Linked DNA regions of Coturnix japonica. The protein of the gene in region 1 binds, or shares a complex with, the protein of each later gene. Links are inferred from orthologs where the notes say so. Each region holds a gene or a part of one and is shown in the gene's direction. Other genes may lie near its edges. The genes, in order: SLC9A3 and CHP1.

What was found.
Region 2: the proteins of SLC9A3 (region 1) and CHP1 are in contact, whole or in part, in a cryo-EM structure (PDB 7X2U), measured with the Homo sapiens proteins. The link is inferred for Coturnix japonica from reciprocal best matches to the Homo sapiens genes SLC9A3 and CHP1. Residues at the interface, in NP_004165.2 of Homo sapiens: Tyr396, Arg397, Met398, Gln400, Glu402, Arg474, Leu475, Asn476, Glu477, Leu479, His480, Gly481, Arg482, Ala483, Phe484, Asp485, His486, Ile487, Leu488, Ser489, Ala490, Ile491, Glu492, Asp493, Ile494, Ser495, Gly496, Gln497, Asn501, Arg504; in NP_009167.1 of Homo sapiens: Arg30, Leu31, Arg34, Leu38, Lys40, Glu49, Phe51, Gln52, Arg53, Ile54, Glu56, Leu57, Ala58, Ile59, Asn60, Pro61, Leu62, Asp64, Ile66, Phe70, Phe83, Leu87, Phe90, Leu115, Phe117, Ala118, Leu121, Tyr122, Leu135, Leu139.

Annotation. Positions count from the first base shown.
Region 1 is NC_029517.1:72,717,213-72,727,803, reverse strand, and holds the start of SLC9A3 (sodium/hydrogen exchanger 3), read left to right. Parts: upstream 1-5,407; 5' UTR 5,408-5,433; coding exon 5,434-5,629; intron 5,630-10,591. UniProt on the Homo sapiens protein: Plasma membrane Na(+)/H(+) antiporter. Exchanges intracellular H(+) ions for extracellular Na(+) in 1:1 stoichiometry, playing a key role in salt and fluid absorption and pH homeostasis.
Region 2 is NC_029520.1:21,957,130-21,966,262, forward strand, and holds the end of CHP1 (calcineurin B homologous protein 1), read left to right. Parts: intron 1-2,421; coding exon 2,422-2,502; intron 2,503-3,358; coding exon 3,359-3,486; intron 3,487-4,246; coding exon 4,247-4,308; intron 4,309-5,367; coding exon 5,368-5,490; intron 5,491-6,718; coding exon 6,719-6,772; 3' UTR 6,773-8,578; downstream 8,579-9,133. UniProt on the Homo sapiens protein: Calcium-binding protein involved in different processes such as regulation of vesicular trafficking, plasma membrane Na(+)/H(+) exchanger and gene transcription. Involved in the constitutive exocytic membrane traffic.

The DNA of each region.
Region 1 (10,591 bases):
GTGAGGCCACACCTTGAGTACTGTGTCCAGTTTTTGGCCCCTCATCGAGGTCCTGGAACGTGTTCAAAGAAGGGCAACAAAGCTGGTGAGGGGTCTGGAGCACAGGCCTTATGTGGCAAAACTGAGGGTGCTGGGATTGTTTGGTCTTGAGAAGAGGAGGCTCAGGGGTGACCTTATCACTCTCTATAACTACCTGAAGGGAGGATGTAGTGAACTGGGGGTTGGCCTCTTCTGTTGTGTAACTGGTGATAGGACTAGAGGGAATGGTTTCAAGCTGCGCCAGGGGAGACTTAGTCTGGACATTAGGAAATACTACTTCTCTGAAAGAGTGGTCAGGCAGTGGAATGGGCTGCCCAGGGAGGTGGTGGAGTTTAAGGAACATTTGGATGTTGTGTTGAGGGACATGGTTTAGTGAGAACTATTGGTGATCATTGGATGGTTGGACTGGGTGATCCTGTGGGTCTTTTCCAACCTTGGTGATTCTATGATTCTATGGTAGAGCAAATTCTCAGCTACGAAGCAGTATGTTTCAATATAATTACTACCATTGGCTATGCATTTTTGTTAGTGGTGAACAAGACCCAGAATGCTGCACTTGTAAGAACTGGCACCAGAGGAGGTGACGCACTAACACAGTCACCACTGCTGGAATGCACCACTCACTGCCTCACTGTGATAGCATCCACTTTGGTATCCACAAATGTTCAGCAAGTGTTGATGAATGCCATTTGGGGCAATTATTTCCACATGGAAGAATTCAATTACACATCTTTGCTTCATATGGACTTCTGTGTTAGATGCCAGTTTGTTAGACTGATCTACTGCTGCCATCTGTCACACAGCTCCAAAATGTAATGGAAGATTAGCAGATTAGTTCAAACTCTATTGCCATGCCATCAGCATCTGCCTCTGATGTAATGGGCAAACATAATAAATAGAGGAGGCATTAATTTCAGAGCACCCCTTGAGCAACCGAATTTTTCAATGTGTGCTTTCTAGAGAAAATTAATAACATTTTAAATACTTCGCTCTATCTCTTTATTTTTTATTCATTTTAAACTGAAATTATCTTTTACCTCAGCTTGAAAACAATACATAAGAACTTACTTGTACCACACATAGACCACACGAAGGGTGTACAAGATAATACTATTTCTTTTTGCTAAGTGATTATTTCAAAATACTTCTAGAAGCAACTGTGCTGGAGATCTTCTTGTTACAAAAAATCACTCAAAGCTCAAAGAGAGTATAATAAGAAGAACTCTTCCCTTTGCAGTCCTCTGAGAGAGTCAGGAAATATCAGCCATTGTGTGATTTGTTCTGTTTATTACAAACAGTACTCCAGGTAGGGCTTTTTTTTTTCTGATATAGAATGAAACCACAGGAAACAACAGATGCCATCTTCCTGGACTTCTACATGGCCTTTAACGTGGTCCCTCACCACATCCTTCTGTCTAAAGAGGTATGGATTTGAAGGATGGACTGTTTGGTGGACTAAGGATTGGTTGGCTGGACACAGCCAAAGAGTTGTGATTAATGGTTCTGCATCAGAGTGAAGGCCGGTCACAAGCGGTGTCCCTCAGGTCTTGGTCTTGGGACCGGCACTCTTCAACATCTTCACAAATGACATAGACAATGGCATCGAGTGCACCAACAGCAAGTTTGCAGATGCCACAAGCTGAGTGGTGCAGTCAATACACTGGAAGAAAGGGAAGCCATCCAGAGGGACCAGATAAGAGAAGTGGGCCCATTAAAACCTAATAAGGTTCAATAACACCAAGTGCAGGGTGCTGCACATGGGCCAGGGCAGTTCCAGGTATTTTTACAGACTGGGGGAAGATCTCCTTGAGAGTAACCCTGCAGAGAAGGACTTGGGGTCCTGGTGGATGAGAAGCTGGACATGAGCCAGCAGTGTGTGCTTGCAGCCCAGAAGGCCAGCTGTATTCTGGGCCCCATTAAAAAAGGGGTGGCCAGCAGGGAGAGGGAGGTGATTGTCCCCCTCTACTCAGCTCTTGTGAGGCCCCATCTGGAGTACTGCATCCAGGCCTGCAGCTCCCATTACAGGAAGGACATGGAGCTCAGCTCTTAGAATGGGTCCAGAGGTGGGCTACTAAGATGATCAGAAGGCTGGAGCACCTCTCTTACTAGGAGAGGTTGAGGGAACTGGGCTTGTTTATCTTGGAGAGAAGAAAAGGCTCCGGGGAGACCTCATTGCTGCCTTCCAATACTTGAAGGGAGCATATAAACAAGAGGGGGAATGACTGTTTACGAGAGTGGATAGTGATAGGACAAGGGGGAATGGATTTAAACTGAGACAGGGGAGGTTTAGGTTAAATATTAGGTGGAAGGTTTTAACACAGAGGCTGGTGACACACCAGAACAGGCTGCCCAAGGAGGCTGTGGATGCCCCATCCCTGGAGGCATTCAAGGCCAGGCTGGATGTGGCTCTGGTCAGCCTAGTCTAGTGGTTGGTGACGCTGCCCATGGCAGGGGGGTTGAAACTTGATGATCATTGTGGTCCTTCTCAACCCAGGCCATTCTGTGATTCTATGATTCTATGAAACTGCTTAAGGGATTTCACACAGAAACTTAAAAAATTCTACAAGGGTTTGTTTTCATTGCACTGTGAGATGAAAAAAGAAAAAAAAAACTTAAAAAAAAAAAAAAAAAAGGAATCTGTGAACAAATAAGTAAATGTAAAGTATACATTCTCACATAGGTATACATATGGACTGTTGTTTTAGCATTTATTCAAGTACCTACAGATGATCCATAATTACTGGTTCCTTTCTCTGTGTGCTCTGTATTACTCTAACATTCTAATGAATTGCACAATAATTCTGATATACACAGCAATTTGATATCCAAACATCTAGAAAATATCCTGGAGGCATTGGATGATAGGACAAATTTCACAATTACACTTTGAATCATGAGCTTATTGCTAAAAAAATACAATGTTTGTGTTTTAACTGTGTTGTAGACAATGTTTTGTAAAGATTTTATAGCAAGCAAAATTATGTACTTCTGTGATAGTTTAGACTAAAGGTTTTCAAGGATTATTACAAATTGTAAAAATACCACTGGGTATTATACTGGCAACTGATGAGCAGATTAACACTACCTTGTCTGTGTGAAGACAGTATTTCCATAATTTTTCCTGTTTGCTACTACTGCTTTATCTCCACCAGGATTATCAGAACCCTGATTTAACTTAGTTACTGAGCCACCACTACTGTCATGAACTGTCCTTTACCTAAGGGCAATGATGACATGATTTTGGCTGCAGCTGTTTCAAGTGAAATGTCAGGGGTTTTTTTTGTTTTTGTTTTTGTTTTTGTTTTTTTTTAAAATAAACTGTGGAAAAGATTTTCATTTATTTATTTATTTATTTATTTTCAATAATAAGGATTGTTTCTAAACCATTTCTTATTTTGTGGGACTAGATTTGGGAAGAATTACATTTATAAGATGGAACACTACAGCATTTGTACATTTGTGCTGCGCTGCTGCTAGAATTATGTGATTAACTGTAGTATGGTAGAATGTGGAATACACTGAGATAATAAAAGCAGTGTTGACAGATTGTTCATTGTTCTTCTAATATCAACCACTAGAATTTGCATTAACAATTAGGAACTACTACTATCCACAGGTCTCAGCAACAGTTATAGACTTACATACTTCCAATTCTAGTTCTGTTTCTACAATGGCAGTGCATCAGGGCCCTTTGTAGAACCTTTGAGAAAACATGGGCCCAGATTCTAAAGGGCATTTGGGTATCTAACTGACACTTAGAAAAATAAAAACAATATAGGTAGGATTTTAGTTGTTAGATATGGAATTATTCTTCAGGTCTTTGACTATAATATATCCTAAATGTAAAGAAAATATTTTACTGTCAGCCATGCTTCCTAAATATATTGCATATTCTAGCTTCAGATTGTTTCCCAGGCTAAAAAAAATCCTACATGATTTCCTTTCTTTTAAGTAATGAAGAAGCAAGGTAAGAGAAACAGTAATACGCTTCATTGTTTGAAGAGGGCCCAATGCACTGCTTTGGAGTAATAATAAGCAAATCTTCAGTGAATTAATATATAAAATCTTCATTCCTTGACTTCCCTGGCTAAATTAGATTATGTAATAGTGAAAGACCCCCTTTGTAACAATGACATCCCATGCAAATTGTTTTAGATTTACCAGTTAATTGATTTATAGAGGGCTTTATAATAACTCATTTGAATTTCCAGAAAGTACATAGCTTTTCTCTCAAATGTTTCAAATAATCAAAGTTATTTCTTTCATTTCTGAGCATTTTAAAGGAGACCTTATCCTGTTCTTTTGTGATCTCTTGACCAAACTTTTTGTTACGTAAGTGAAACAGATAATCTTTTTCCTGAATAGGTAACTTGAGTTGTGGACAGCATGTAGCAGTTGGAATGCTTCAAAGCATGGAACAGAGGGTAGAGATGTTGCTGCAGTGTGTAGAAAGGTGCAGTTTGCTGAGACCATGCTGCTTCGCTGTCTTGACTTTGGGGAAAGGCAGCAAGCTTCTAAAATATTTCATGTGGTAACAAATAAAAAAGGAACAGGAAAATAAGACAAAGAGTAGTTTAATACAGCACTCCTCATCAAAGAGCTGCAAGCAAATCTAAACAGAAAGTCAAACCTTTCTTGCTGGTGTAATTTCCTCGAGCACTGCTGGCAGAGGTGCTCCCTGGTGGACAGAAGTGAAAGCTCAGCCAACCAGATCCGAACGCGATTTGAAGCTGAAGAGCAGAAAAAAAACGCACTCCCTTCGTCAGTACTATAGTACTGGGTCTGACCCGTTTGCCTCAAACGCACCCGGACGAATTTCCTCATCCAACTCCGACTTGAGCATGGATCCTGGGCTCCGCCTGGGACGTGCGTGCGGAAGCACCCCAGCCTTGGCCCCTAGCACCAAGAGCATAAGGTCACTTCTTTCCAACCCCCATGTGTTCGGAGCCGAGCCGGGACGGTTGGCACAACCCACAACCTTCTGTTGCCGCCTCGGCGGAACTCTTTGCTGATCCCGAAAGGTGCTCAGCTAGGGGCAGCACCGCTGGCTCCGCAGTCACAAAAGCTCCGCCTCCGACCGATCTGGAACAGCTAGATAAAGGCAGGTGCGGGAAAGCGGCAGGAACTCAGCTCGCAGCATCTGCTTATGTTCAGAGTCCCTGACCCTTTCTTGATCACAGCTTGCAGAGAAGCACCTGGGTCGGCCCGTGCAGCCGTGCCGACGGTTCCGGGACAGGACCCACTCTGCTGCCTGCAGAACTCACCGCTGCCCCCAGTTCCACAGTCTCTACGATAGCGTCTCTGCGAGGAGACGAGGACCTCTCCCCCAAGGACCTCCGAAGAGGAGGGATTTCTCCGGGAAGGGGAAACAGGCTTCTGTTGTGTGACTTGGAGATGAGACAGGTCTCTAGAATGGGGTTCCTCCTGGGACTGATGGATCTCCCAGCAGCGCTAGGACAGAGAAGCTCGGGAAGCCATACAAATAACAGCCATCCTCAGAGCTTTGAGATCGTCTCTTTCAAATGGGATCATGTAAAGGACCCTTATGTCATTACACTCTGGATACTTGTGGCCAGCTTGGCCAAAATTGGTGAGTCCCGAGTTATATATTATGTCCTCTTCCTTCCCCTTCCTTTTTTTCCCTTCTCACATCCAGCATAAATGAAGAGAGCTTATCAGAAGTCCACTGACCCGTTTTCAGGGGTTCTACTGTACTCTGTCCTGATTTCATAATACTGCCTTACATAGCGCTTAGCAGTGTGATTTTCACCTGCCTGAGGGAGTTAAGTAGTTCATTTTCAACACCTAAGACTAGCTTTTGTATCCGACTCCTTACATATACAAGGCATTTCTTGAAGCCCTTCATTACAGTTGTTCTCAGGAAAAACTTTTTACAGACTTGAAACAAAGATTAAGCCTTATTGCTGATAGAGTGCCCATTCCAACTGACAATACGCTGTCCTTTTAAATATAACTGATAGATTTATTAGCTACCATCAACACAAATAAACACAATAAAACCAATTTATGAACTTAGCAATCTCTGCTTTGCAAAGCATGGTTGAATTAGGGAAAGAAAATAAGAAAAAATATTTTACAGGGAAGGGTAACATTTTCAGATCATTTGTTGCAGCTGAAAATTCACAAACTTCAGAGCACACAGAATTTTCTTTAAGAAAAGAGAACTAATGAAACACAATTACTTAATCTATGTTGAATGCAGTATGTGTAAATACACATGAATACTCTAGTTCTTGTTTTCTGAACCTTATAACACCTCCAAAAGCAATCTTTGTTGAACTAGAAAAGTGCATGCTTATTTGGAATGTATGTTATTTCCATGATGCTATTATTTTCTATTAAAACTGTAGTATCATAGAATATCTGGTATTGAAAGCGATCCACAAGGATTATCATGCCCAGCTCCTGGCTCCACACAGGACTATCTAAAATTTAAACCCTACATCTGAGAGTATTGCACAAAACATTTCTTGAACTTCAGAAGGCTTGGTGTCATAAGCACTCCTCTGGGTAGCCTGTTCCAGTGCCCAATTAGTTGCTTATGAATATCCTTTTTCTACTATCCAGTCTGAATTTTACCTGAATCAGTTTGATGCCATTCCACTGGATACTTTTAACTTTTGGATCTAAAATGAGAACACTGTCAGTTTGGCTGATACCATGTCATTTTCAATTTGATTGCGTGACCAGCTAAAAATCATACTAATATCCTACATTTGTACTGATAATACTGATTTGTGATGCCAGTATCTTACACCATGGGTTTTGCACGTTACACCAAATGAAAGGTCTAAACAGACAGATCGTGCATTTAGTTGTACATAAGCTAAATGCACTAAGGGTGAGCAGAAAGTACTGCCTTCACATTCAAATAAATCCAAATGATACTTTTCTAAAAGGGAGGAGACTGGTTATGCAAAGGTTATATTGTTAAGTGGTTTTCAGCAGTGTCTAAACTTAGATGCTTGCTCATGGAACCATAAGCTAAATATTGTCAACGAAATCAGTGTTGAACTGCAAGTATTTCAGATGGTAGCTGCATTATCTAGAGTATATATAAAAAATGCAGTTTTGATTTAATTGACTTATATTGATGAGTTATATAGAGTAGAAAACTGGAGAAACAAGATATGGTGAAAAAAGCAGTGACAATGTTGAGCCTCTGTAAATTTATGCTTACTAATTTTAATAAATAGACTGCTTGTCTGAACCTTCTTTTTGACATTCTTTTCTAAGTAAGTATTAACTTTCTGTGTTATTAAGACTTTGTTTTCCATATGTACCAGCGTTATTCAGAATATTAGTGGTAACAACCATATCTGTGCTGTGGCAGAAACTCAGTGCAGATCACAGGTCTTGTCCTATATTCAAAATGCCAAGGCTTGAAATAAGATTGTCTTGAATTAAGATGAGACATTTTACTGTGAACTATGTAGTATATCTACAGATATTTTATTTTTGGAGTTTGGAAGCTGAATACCACTGTTCAATTCTAAAATTATTTGCACTTATTTCATAGCTGCACAGAGCACATCACTTACTAGTAAGAAGAGAGTGTCTATCATCAATTCCATCATTTCCTAAGCTCTCAAACTTCAGACTCCTCTCACATTTATAATTGCAATCTTGAACTGTCCTGTATGTTGTCTCTTAAGAAGCAATGGATAGCTGCAGAGGAATATATGTTCCCAATGATTATTTTGTTCTGGATTTTTTAGAGAGGGGGGCAGAGTGATTTTTATACATGCAAGATCACCTCTAAGTATTGGCACAAAACTGTGGAATAAGAGTTTTCAGACAGCTGGCTTTCATGAACTATAAGATACTCAGTCTGTGTCTAATATTGATGCATTTGATGCATCTCAGTCTACTGTTTCACATTTCATAAGTGATTTGACGTGACGCTCTTTATTTGAAGTCTTCCAGCTCTTTATTCTAAGGTTCACAGTGTTCCATCTAATTATCTTTATTTCCTCTTTTGATATGCTTTCTTATCACTACACGAGTATCCTTATGGGATTAGGCTAATAAACTACTCATAAGTGTAAAGCTAAGCCTTAAAAACATCTTATCTGTGTGAAGAAAGTACATCAGGTACATCTGAGAACCCTCCTGGTAGACTTCTTCCGCTAGGTGTCGACTTTCTGGTACCTCAGTTGTTCAAACTGAACAAGTAATTCTGATTAAAAAACAAAACAAAAAAAAAAAAACCCAAAAAAACACACACACACAAAAACAAAAACAGAACAAAACCATGAACACATACATACATGCTTGTTATTTACAGTTAGACTATGTCACTAAGTAAGTTCACCTTGCCATGCACTCCCTATTTCTTTATATGCCTTTAATGGGTCACAACTTGAAAACAATCATTTAATAAATATACATATAGAATGTACAAACAGTGGGAGCAAAGTCTGTTGTAGAAAAAGCCAAAAGTAGGTGGGAGAAAAAGAGCTCTGGAAGTAGGCAGAAGACAAGGAATAATAAGCTTAGGAGATAAAATCACACAATCACACAATCACAGAATTGTAGGGCTTGGAAGGAGCCTATGGAGATCATAAAGTACAACTCCCCTGACATAGCAGGTTCCCTACACCAGGTTGCAGAGAAGTGTCCAAACAGGTCTTAAGTATCTCCAGAGAAGGAGACTTTGCAACTTCTCTGGGCAGCTTTTTCCAGTGCTTTGTCACTTTCATAGTAAAGAAGTTCTTCCTTGTGTTTGTATGGAACTTCCCTTGCTCCAGTTTCTGCCCATTGCCCCTTGTTCCATTGTTGCATGCCACTGAAAACCTGTCCCTATCAACTTGACTCCTGCGCTTTAGATTATAAACAATGATGAGATGCCTTTCAGCCTTCTCCAGGTTGAAGAGACCCGGGTCTCTCAGCCTTTCCTCATATGTGAGATGCTCCAGGCCATCATCCTTGTGATCCTCTTCTGGACTCTGTTTAGAAGATCTCTGTCTTCTTTGAACTTGTAGAGCCCAGAATTGGACACAGTATTCAAGTTTCATCTAAGAACATTGTATACAAGTCCAGTTAGTTGTTTTTTTCTTTCTTTTTCTTCTTTTTCTTCTTCTTTTTTTCTTTTTTTTTTTTCTTTTCTGAGAATGTATCTTAAAACATAGCTATTGTTCAAAAAACAAAAACAAACAAAACAAAACCAACCAACCAACAAACAAAAAACAGGGGTAGTATGTTTTTTACCTGAAGATACCCACTGCATGCTGCTTTATATGTGCTGCTCTTGTTCAAAATCCCAGGATGCAGAGAGTGTTTTTATATTTTCATTAACATGTGGGTAACTTGTAAGATTTTTATATGTGTTTTACATCTTGTTGACTACCTTAATGTTTCCTCAAACAACAGCTAATTGCTTTGCACTAAAAAAACTACAAAGCACTTTTTTGTTGTTGTTGGTCTGTTTGTTTTTGTAGTGACAATGTAATCAGTGACAATGAGGCTCATTACTGAAGTCTGAGTAACATTTACTGCCTTATTTTTGCTACCTAGACTACTGACCTTACAATTTACAGATTTAATCATTACAGGCCTGCACAAGGTAAATTATCTCAGTAAGGCCAGCTTAAGCTCATTGCTACTGTTAAAATACCATTTTTCTTCATCACTCTGTCCCATGTCTACACAAATAGCAGTACCCTTCTGAGAGATAAAGTGGCCTTACAATGACATCTGCCAACTTCTTCATTACTCTTGGGTGAATTCCATCAGCATGCATGGCCTTGGGTATGTTCAGTTTGCTTAAGTACTCTCTGGCATGATCCTTTTCCACCAACAGTATATCTTATTTGCTCCATATTATCTCTCAGGTCTTTGGAACCTGGGATTCCTGAAGGCCGGTCTTGCTAGTAAGAACTGAGGCAAAGAAGGCATTCAGCACGTCAGCTTTTTCCCTGTCCTCTGTAACCACAACCCTCATCTTATTCAGTGGGCTTATGTTTTCTCTAGTCTTCTTTCTGTCACTGGTTTATTTACAGAAGCCCTTCTTGTTGCCTTTAACATCTGTGGCCAGATTCAATTCCATCTGGGCTTCAGTTTTCCTAACTTCATCACTGTATTCTTCAACATGTGTATGTCTCACAGGTTACCTGTCCTTATTTCCACCCTCCGTTTACATTTTTCTTGTGTTCAGCTTTTGTTTTGCTGACTCATACAGGTCTCCTGACATTTGTGCCTGTCTTTCTCTTTGCTGGAATAACTTTCTTCTGAGTTTAGAGGAGATCCTTGGAGACTAATCATATTTCTTCCATTTCTCTTCACTCCAGAACATCCCATGAGACTCTTCTAAGCAAATCCTTTAACAGTGCTCTTCGTACTCTCCTCAAGCCTGGGATTATGAATTTGTTTCTCACAGTCCTTTTTCCCCAAGGTATCCTGAACTCTGCCATCTCACAGTCACTGTAACAAAGGATGCCTTTGACCTTTATATTCCCCAAAAGCCCCTTGTTAAAGACCCAGCAGAACAACTCTCATTGGATTTTGTGTCACTTGAAGAAGGAAGCTACTA
Region 2 (9,133 bases), on another chromosome or scaffold:
GTCAAAGCAGGCAGCTCATGGGTTTGGATCAGTGAATGATAGGTTACTATAATAGTTTATGCTTCTGTCCTTGCTGTGCATTCCTTTATTTGTACTGCTTTCTGTCACTTCTAATCATCCTTGCTTTTGGCATTCTTTGCCTAATGTTTATAAAGCAATTTTTCCCCAGTTAAACTTTTTTTTTTAACTTTGTGTAAGGATGGAGTTGGATGAGATGGCTGGCATGGCTGTTAAAAGAGAATGATCATTGTGTCACTTCTCCATGCTCTCAGCACATCTCTAAGCTGAGATGGTATCTGCAAACAGAAGCAGTTCAAATTAATCGGTGATAACTGAGAATGGAGAAGAAGAAGGTGGGGAGCTTTCCTTTTTGTTTATGAGGTGCATTAGACCATCAGGCAGTCTGATGAATGTTAAAGCTGATGTTAACGGGGAAGAGAACAATAAAATGTCTTTTCAGTAGTATCCTGTTAAATCTGGCCACATTGCTATTTAATCTACTTCATATTATATCCTTTTAATTCTTTTCTAGAAGTTTAAATATTTCTTATTGTCTTCACCATCTGGACATCTCCCCCTTTTTTTACTGTTTTAGTTTGCTTCACCCACTCGTTACACACTGAAGTAAAAGGGCAGACAGCCAGAAATAATGGAAGGAAAATAAAGAGTCCAGTCTTAAAATTCAGAATTTCCTTGCTGCAAACTATGAATGCTCTGGCATACATACAAAACATTCAGTCTCCATAATAACATGAAGCTAAAGGTTGCTCTGCATGTTATGTTTAAGCAAGGGTTTAGTGGCATCTGGGCCCTGGAAATAGCCATGTGAGAAGAGCATGTTGCTGTGTCACCAAAACAGAAGCAGAGGGCAGCTGATTTCTTGTAAGCTCCAGCCTCAGCCACAGGAAGCTGGTCCCAAATGACCGCAGGAAGTTTTCCTTTATGAAGTGGAGAATAACTTGCATCATGCATTCATTTACTTTTATGGCTGTTAGAGCTATTTCAATTATAACCACTCACTCAGTAATGTGCTCTTTACAAGCAAAAATGGTCTACTGCAATCCTGGTAATGACAGGACAAATAGATTTGAAACCTGGGGAGTTATTTGTGGTTAATTGTTAATCTGCTATAAAGTGGAACTGGAGGTTGGAATGCTGAGTGTTAATTTAGGCTTGATACTAAGAAACAGTGAGGTGCAAGTAGAAAAATTCTAAGTGTTGAGATTTTTATCTTGAATGGAATCTGAGAGCAGTTGCTGCTTTTAGATCCTAAATTTTAGCATTGAAGCGTGTTGCTGAAATATTGTTTCTAGAGTGCACATTTCCCACATCACTGCTCCTCCTACCTGGGTCATTAATGCATGCTCTACCCTTCAGCTATAGCTTGAAAAGGTAGCAGTCCTGAAGGGTAGGGTAGCTAGTTGATTATGTTATGCAGATGGTGACTTTGCCAATTAAAAAATAATACCTGGTCAGAGCAGATGTAGGCTTAAAAATATGATCAGGTCATTCTGTTAGAAGGTCAAACAGTTTTAGCCATGTTGTAACAGACGTACTATAATTGGGACTAACAGTGCTGTGGTGTAACTAAGTACTAGGAATACTTTAGAGTTCATTTGCAGTCAGAACGTCTTGCTTGATCTTTCTCTGACCTTCCTCCTGTTTTTAAGATCATGCTGTTATTAAAGAGGCCAGTATACTTAATACGGAATAGGCTGGGATTTGGAGGCCAATTTTGTGGGTTTTGTTTTTGTAGCCTTAGTGTGTTGCTGTTATTGTACTTTAAAACCCAGATGACCATGAAATGTATCTTCTACTAATGAACTGCTGTGCTTTATTGTAGTGAAAAAACCTTTGATTCTGGAGGTATTCACAGAGAATTGCTTAATGAGTCTGCCTTGACCACAATGGGATTACTCCACTTTCCTGTCAAGGAGATATTGTTAGGCTGGAAGAAAAATTGACAGGGCAACTTTAATGATAAAATGGACCCTGTTTTCATGATCATACTGACATGAATACATTATTTTAGATCAGCATAGCTTTTGTCTTCTAGTTCAGAACAGTTGACACAATATAAGCATAGCTATGTGTATACTAGCTATGTGCTTATATATAATTATGAGCAGGAGGGAGAATGGCTTACAAGTGCGGTGAATATTGGTGATGAATTGGTGAATCTGAAGTGAACTAGTCTGGAGAAATCATTGTCAGATGTAGCTCCAAAATATGTGGTTTAAGAAGTTTACTTCAAAACTGTTTCAGAAGTTTTCCTTCCTTAAACTGAGAACTAGTGAGCACCGTTTCTAGGGTTGTGTCTAGCACAAATAGTGTTAGCATCTCAATTCTTATGAAGCAGTTTTTTCTCCTGTGACTTGCATACTTGTTTATACAGATGTGTTGTGTTCTTGCTTTGCTTAGCCGTGAAGACTTCCAGCGGATTCCAGAGCTTGCCATCAATCCTCTGGGAGACCGAATTATCAATGCCTTTTTTTCAGAAGGGTAAGTTCCAACCGCCTGAATTAGTGAATAGTCATAAAATGTAGTTTGTCAGGAGCTCTAATACGAGAAAAGAGATGATTAAAGCACAGAATTTGAATTCAGTGATAACTGAACATCTCAGACTTCTGCTAGTCATGTTGGTTTGTTGTTTCCTCTGTACACTTTCATTACATAATAAGAGACTCTTCTCTCACAGGAGTTTTATATCCTTTGAGTGATGAGATTTGCTTGTGTGTCACTGTTGTCCATTCTTGCTATGCTGCTTTTTAAGAGGGTCAAGGGCATGGACTTTGATTCTTAAAGCAAACTTGTAGCAGTAATACCTTATGTAAAGTAGTGTTGCAGTTAACAAATTCAATTTTTCTTTGCTTTTTTGCCTTCTAAGTGTGCCTTTGTTAACAGATCAACTTCTGCTTTCTAATTTGGATCATATTGAAGCTGTATCTTATGACACTGTCAACTTGAATCCAAAGAGGCAGTGAGATTTTCAGTGTTGTAGGCCAGGATTCAGATCAGTAAGATACACTTCTGGACTTGGGTGTAGTTGCAGGATAACTTAGGCAAGGGCAAAGGGTGAAAACTTGAATTTAAATTTATAGGCAAAGAGGGGAGCAGCCTGTAACAAGACTTCTTGCAGTTTTTTTCCCCTCATATATCACACTTCAATCTTTGCAGAAGTATGATCCCAGGTTACAGCTGCAGAGAGCTGGTTTTAGTCACAGGTTGCTAAACCCTGGAGAGATAGGAATTAAGAATTCTCATGGTGTGGACACTTGAGACATTCTTACTGTTTTTTATTGAAATAAAAAGCCCGTGTGAACTGTGCTGGAGCTAACTGTCTAAAATGCTTGTGCAGAGAGGACCAAGTGAATTTCCGTGGATTCATGAAGACACTAGCCCACTTCCGGCCCATAGAAGATAACGAAAAGAGCAAAGACCAGAATGGATCGGAACCCCTGAATAGCCGAAATAGCAAGCTCCACTGTAAGAAATGTGAACCTTCCATTAGAAGCAATTCATATTCTTTTCTTTCTCTGAGAAGAGAGCAGAGGTGTTAAGTATTTACTACACGGTCTTTCTGTGTGGAATGATATCTTATAATAACCTGGTTTTTACATGAACTTGTATTCTTACCTGTCCAGAATGTCAACCTATATTTGTGTAAAATTTGATAGAATTGTTTGAATCTTAAGTTCATATGTCTTTTCCTGAAGGCTTCATAACAAGTGTTTAAAAATGGTTTGCAACGTTATTTCATATTTAGAAGCCATGTTTTTTATATGAATGGGCTTTTCTTTTTCTTTCTCCAGTCTTCTGTGTAATATAGTGCTTACTGAATGCACTAGGCAGTGCTTCCTGGAGCACTTAAAAGTTGTTAATTTCAGCTGAAGTATAGCTGTAGGTAGTGAACAAGTGTTAAATAAAAGGCTGGCTCTGAAGTTAAAGCACTGACTATATCTTAGAGCCTCTGTGGCTCAGGGCTTTAAAGAAGTAACTCTGCAGGTAGAATACTTCTGAAACTTTGAGTACTTGAGGATGTACTTAATGTTTTTCACTTCTTGGCAATAATATTCCTGGATGTGGTAATAACTTTTCATGAACAGAACATGAGTTGTATAGCAAGTCAAAATTCTACCTTAATTATCTTAAATGATTTATAATGAGCTATTATTAGTTTTATAGGTAATTGTCAGAAAGAAAAACAATGATGCTTGAATTTAGTACTATATTTCTCTCCCTGCAGTTGCTTTTCGGTTATATGATCTAGATAAAGATGGCAAGATTTCCAGGGATGAGCTGCTTCAGGTAAATAACTGGAGACTACTTTAGATTCCATCATCTGACATTTCGTGCCGTTTGGGATGAAGAGGGGTGTTGGTAACAATCTTAATGAAATCCTTGCAGGAATTTGTGTCTATTTGTTACCTAAAGCTTTAAACCAGAGATATATGAAACCTTACCCTCATTTGGTAGCCCAGATTGTTTTATCAGACCAGGGATTCTAGATTTGGTTTTAAACTACAGTGTTAGGCTCAGTAAGATCTTACTAGAAATGATTCGTAAAAGGAAGGTCTTCTTGGTTAGGATGCTTAAAAACCCAACAAAGAAACTAGAGCCACTTAAGAGCATCTTCAAGGGTGTTTTTAGCTTAGGGGATGTTGCTGGGGTGAATGCAGTCATTCTGGTTGTCCTTGTCCTCACAAAGTAGAATAAAACTTGGTGTAAATGCAGTGAAGACCAGCAGAGATAATCAGAGTTCATCAGTGGCTGTATGTATTTAAGCTAAGCTTGAGCTTAGAGTAATTGCATACTACTAATCCTGGGAAGTAGACATGGCAATTTGTGGTTCTTTATGTAGGACAAGGTTTTGATTTTGACTGAAACTGCCCACTTTCAATCTGTGCAGAAGATGCTTTACTAAATGTTAGGAGGTATTGGCTGCTATCACTTGTGCTTATACTTAGAAAATTCCTGTAGGAAGCATTTTGAACTGTAGACACTCAAATCAAGTATCCATATATTTTTGTGGGAAAAAATTAGAAGCATTGGAACAAAGTGTTATTCTTTCCTGGTTTGGGAAGTTTGTTTATTTGTTGTTTTTTTTTTTACTACTTCTGTGCCTCTCAGCTGCTTAGTGAAAAAGCTGGCTGAAGAAGAAAGCTTTCTTTCTTGGAATCCTTTATATAAAGGACCAATAATAATAGTAATCTACCCAAAATGTCTAAAAGTATTTCCATGGAAATCTTTGAGTTGTCTAGGTCATGACTTAAAAGCAGCATACACGAGAAACAGCATTAAGAATACTTGTGGTTTTATATCACTCATGATTAAAAATAATAATCTAGGGACTTGTATACATTGCAGGTGTTACGGATGATGGTTGGTGTCAACATCTCAGATGAGCAGCTTGGCAGCATTGCTGACAGGACAATCCAGGAAGCTGATACAGATGCGGATGGTGCCATCTCCTTTGAAGAGTTTGTAAAGGTTGGTAAATTACTTACTTAAATGGAACTGCAGTAAACAGACAAATCATTCAGACTTAAATGCACGTGGAAAAATAAATTATTCAAGTATTTCTTCTACCTGCATTTGGCTTATTAGGACTTTTTTTTAAGCTATTCTCTTATTGTGCAAATAATTAGTCCATATGTTTCTCTAGCATAAGCTACAGCACTGAACATACTGCAGAATGTTCATCTCTTGCTAAGACTACTACAGGCATCAGATCCTGAATGAAACTTATCTCCCAGAGTAAGGTGTTTAATGTAACAGTGATGAGCTTAAAAATCAGATAGCAATATACTCCCCAAACCAGCTCATAATGAGGCAATAGAGATTTTTAATGCACCAAACAATATTACTATTACAAATGCTGCTTTCTACACAAATAGGCTGATGAGCAGTTAACAGCAAAGTAATTCTGCTATAATTGTGTTGATTCAATTTCACTTGAGTATTTTATCTGTTACACAACTAAGTATATACTCATATACAAACTTCTAGCTGTAGTCCTGTTAATTGTCTTCTGATGGTTGTCAGAAACAGCTGGTAGTAAGGAGCCATTAGATAGTCAGCAGGAAAAAGTGGAAAAACCACTAAAAAGTGGTTTTAACCTACTGGGGTGGGATTGAAGGAACTAGACTCATCCTGGATGTGGACAAAGATGAGATGATGCAGCACAAACAAGTTGCAATGTGGGAAATGCTTACTAGGATTGGGTGCTAGAGATATAAAACCCACCCTTAATTTGAGAGATTTAAAACAACTGGTTGAGGCCTTAAGTGACTTGATCTAGCTGGCCCTGCTGTCTGAGAGAGCTGAACTAAATGATCTCCAGGAATCTCTTAGAACTTAACTTACTCTAAATTCAGCTTTAAAATAGTCTGCTGTGCTCTTTTAGTTCAACTGCTTGTGCCCCTTTTTCTAGTCCATTCTTCTGTTTCCTCATCAGGCATTCTTACACAGTCTACTTTTGAGAATAGTTCAGCTCTCTCTGGGCTATTGGTGTCCTGCATCAGTTGTGTTTTAGTTGACATCCTTCTTCAGGTTTAAACAGCTGAAGTTTCTGCAGCAAAACACTGCAGTCTCTAGGTGAAAGAACGTCATGCCAAATTGAAGATACTCCATGTTCCTGCCCATCTTCTTTTTACTTGCAGGAAAGAAGTATCTTGTGTAAATTAACTAAAATAACTATTTCTGGATTTTATTGCAGGTTTTGGAGAAGGTGGATGTAGAGCAGAAAATGAGTATTCGATTTCTTCACTGATGGATGGAGAACCCATTCCTTTCTACCGTTACTATACAATGAATAGAACTTCGTTATTTCCTTATCACCTTTCCCCAGAGCGTTGTTACTGGTGCATATAAAATACATCTCCAACCCTTCACTGGTTTGTTCTACCAATGTGAACATTCCCTGTGCATCAGGAACTAAGAGAAATAGCTGCCATGCAACTTGGGAAGGAGTGTTAAAAAAAATCCTTCTGTTTTTTAATTTTTAATTCTTGTCGTCTTTTGCATTGCGAGTAAATGTTTCTCCTTCCTATGTACTGCAGTTTAATCTACAAACTGATTCTTCTGAGCTCTGAATCTGAGAATGGAAAAAAGAAAATGCCACAGAACTGCCTTCTGAAACGCTTTTTGGAGACAAGCATCTGCTCAAATACTAGATGTGGTGATAATTCTTCACCTTGGTTTCCAGTAGCAGCTTTACATCACAGCCATCTCTTTCTTCCTTAGTTGGCTCTTTATGTGGAAGTTTTGTTCCCTGCTTTCAAAGCTTGACTTCTACAAAAAGATGTTGTTCTTATGGCGTCACTGTAAAACTAACACAGAATGCATGGTAACAGTCCAGAGGTGTGGTGTGGAGGCTTTCTTCTTTTTGGGATTGGCTCTCACAGTAGGAGAATAGGCACAGTAGGAGAATGCGTGGTGGTGATGGACACAGTGGTGTCTTCAAAGGAAATAGGAACTCCGCACTAAGTCACTTAAATTGTTTCTGCATTTGCTGCAGGAATGTTTCTTTCCTATGAGCCAGTGGACCATGAAGTACCTTTTCCAGGTTGCTTTACTCTAAGATCCCTCTTCCCATTTGAGTGGCTTTGCCTCTGAAGGTGTAAACTTGTTTACCAGCATACAGAATGCAAGAGAACTATTCATGCCAAAAGCTGGGATTTGTCTTTCTGTCACTGCCCCAGTAAGTGTCATGAAACATTACTGAGTTTTTTTTTTCTTAATTCTAGTGATTATTTGCACTTTCCTATATGGATGTTCTGGTCTTTTAGATTTGTGTTGATTGTGCTAGATGTATTTATGGAAGGTCGGGCATGCAAATATCTCTTGGGAAGTACATATTAAAAGTTTGAGTACTAGTGATATTTCAGGATATATTTCTAGATAAATCTCTCTGCAAGTACAAGATAATTATCCTTCCATTTATCTTTCATTTAATGCAGTTAATAGATTTGCTCCTGATCAAAACAGGATGTCAGAAGTACCGAAGGTTCAACAGCAGCGCACTTTTCTGTGGTTAGATGGTAAATGTTCTCACATAGTTCAGCTGGAGCAGCCTGTGGTCTGGGAGGACCTTCTATAAAACCAAAAAGCCCTAAGAGCTTCTATAGTGAAGAATCAGTTGTTACAACTGCTTCTTTGTTGTTTGTTAATATTTCTATGAATACTGCCAGTCTCCAAGTACCCTCAGATGTTCGTTCTGTTTTCTTTTGTTCCTTGAATCATTTACTTGTATAAAACAACACGCAGGTCTCTGAAGGGTTTCTGGTTTGTTTTAAGGAATTGCACAGCAAAATGCTGTCCTTTGTTTTGCAGAGTGCAGCACAAGTCCTGAAACAAAAACCTCTGTATGGGGAGGAAGTTTTGACTGTCATGTTAAACAGGGTTGTAATAACGCTAAAGTGTTTTTTGAAGTTGCAGGTGTTGCGATCTGCTTTAAATTAAGTTTTGCTCTCATTTTCTGGCTGTATAGTTGTAACCTACAGTTGTGCCTTATTGTCCCAGTGAGACTGGATATTGTATTTGTCAATCCATAAATAAACCTTCCACTGTGTTAAAAAAAACAAAGTATTTATTGTAACTGGGCATCCTCAGGCTTGAAAAATTAAGTACTGCTGAAATATTGCTAGTGTGATTTATGGATGAATTCTTGTAACTTAGTTTGTTTTCAGAGTGCTGCCAAAATCCTTCATTCTGCTGGTAAAGTGGAAGAAAGCAGTAGTGCAAAGCAGGAGCTCCACAGGAGCACATGGATGGTAAGAACAGGAGCTTGACATTTCTCCATGGTTCCAAACAAGGTTTGTGTGTGTGTGTTTTGGTGGTTTTTCTCCCTTGGGGGTGGGGAGGGAGGAAGGAAAAAAGCAGAATGTGACTTTGCTGTTAGCAGTTTAGATCAATTAGAAGCTGTCTGGGATGTGAAGCAATAGGAAGGTGACCTTAAGCTTATGGAATTTTGCACCATCAGTGATGCTGGTCTATAGGCCGGTTTCAGAGATGGGCATTGGTTTTGCAAGAGGTGGTTTTTATGTTCCTTCATGAGAAGGAGCTGATTGATAAGTGCTGTTAGCAGCCTTCCTCAGGCTTCCGTGCTATACAAAAACACGATTCTCTAGTT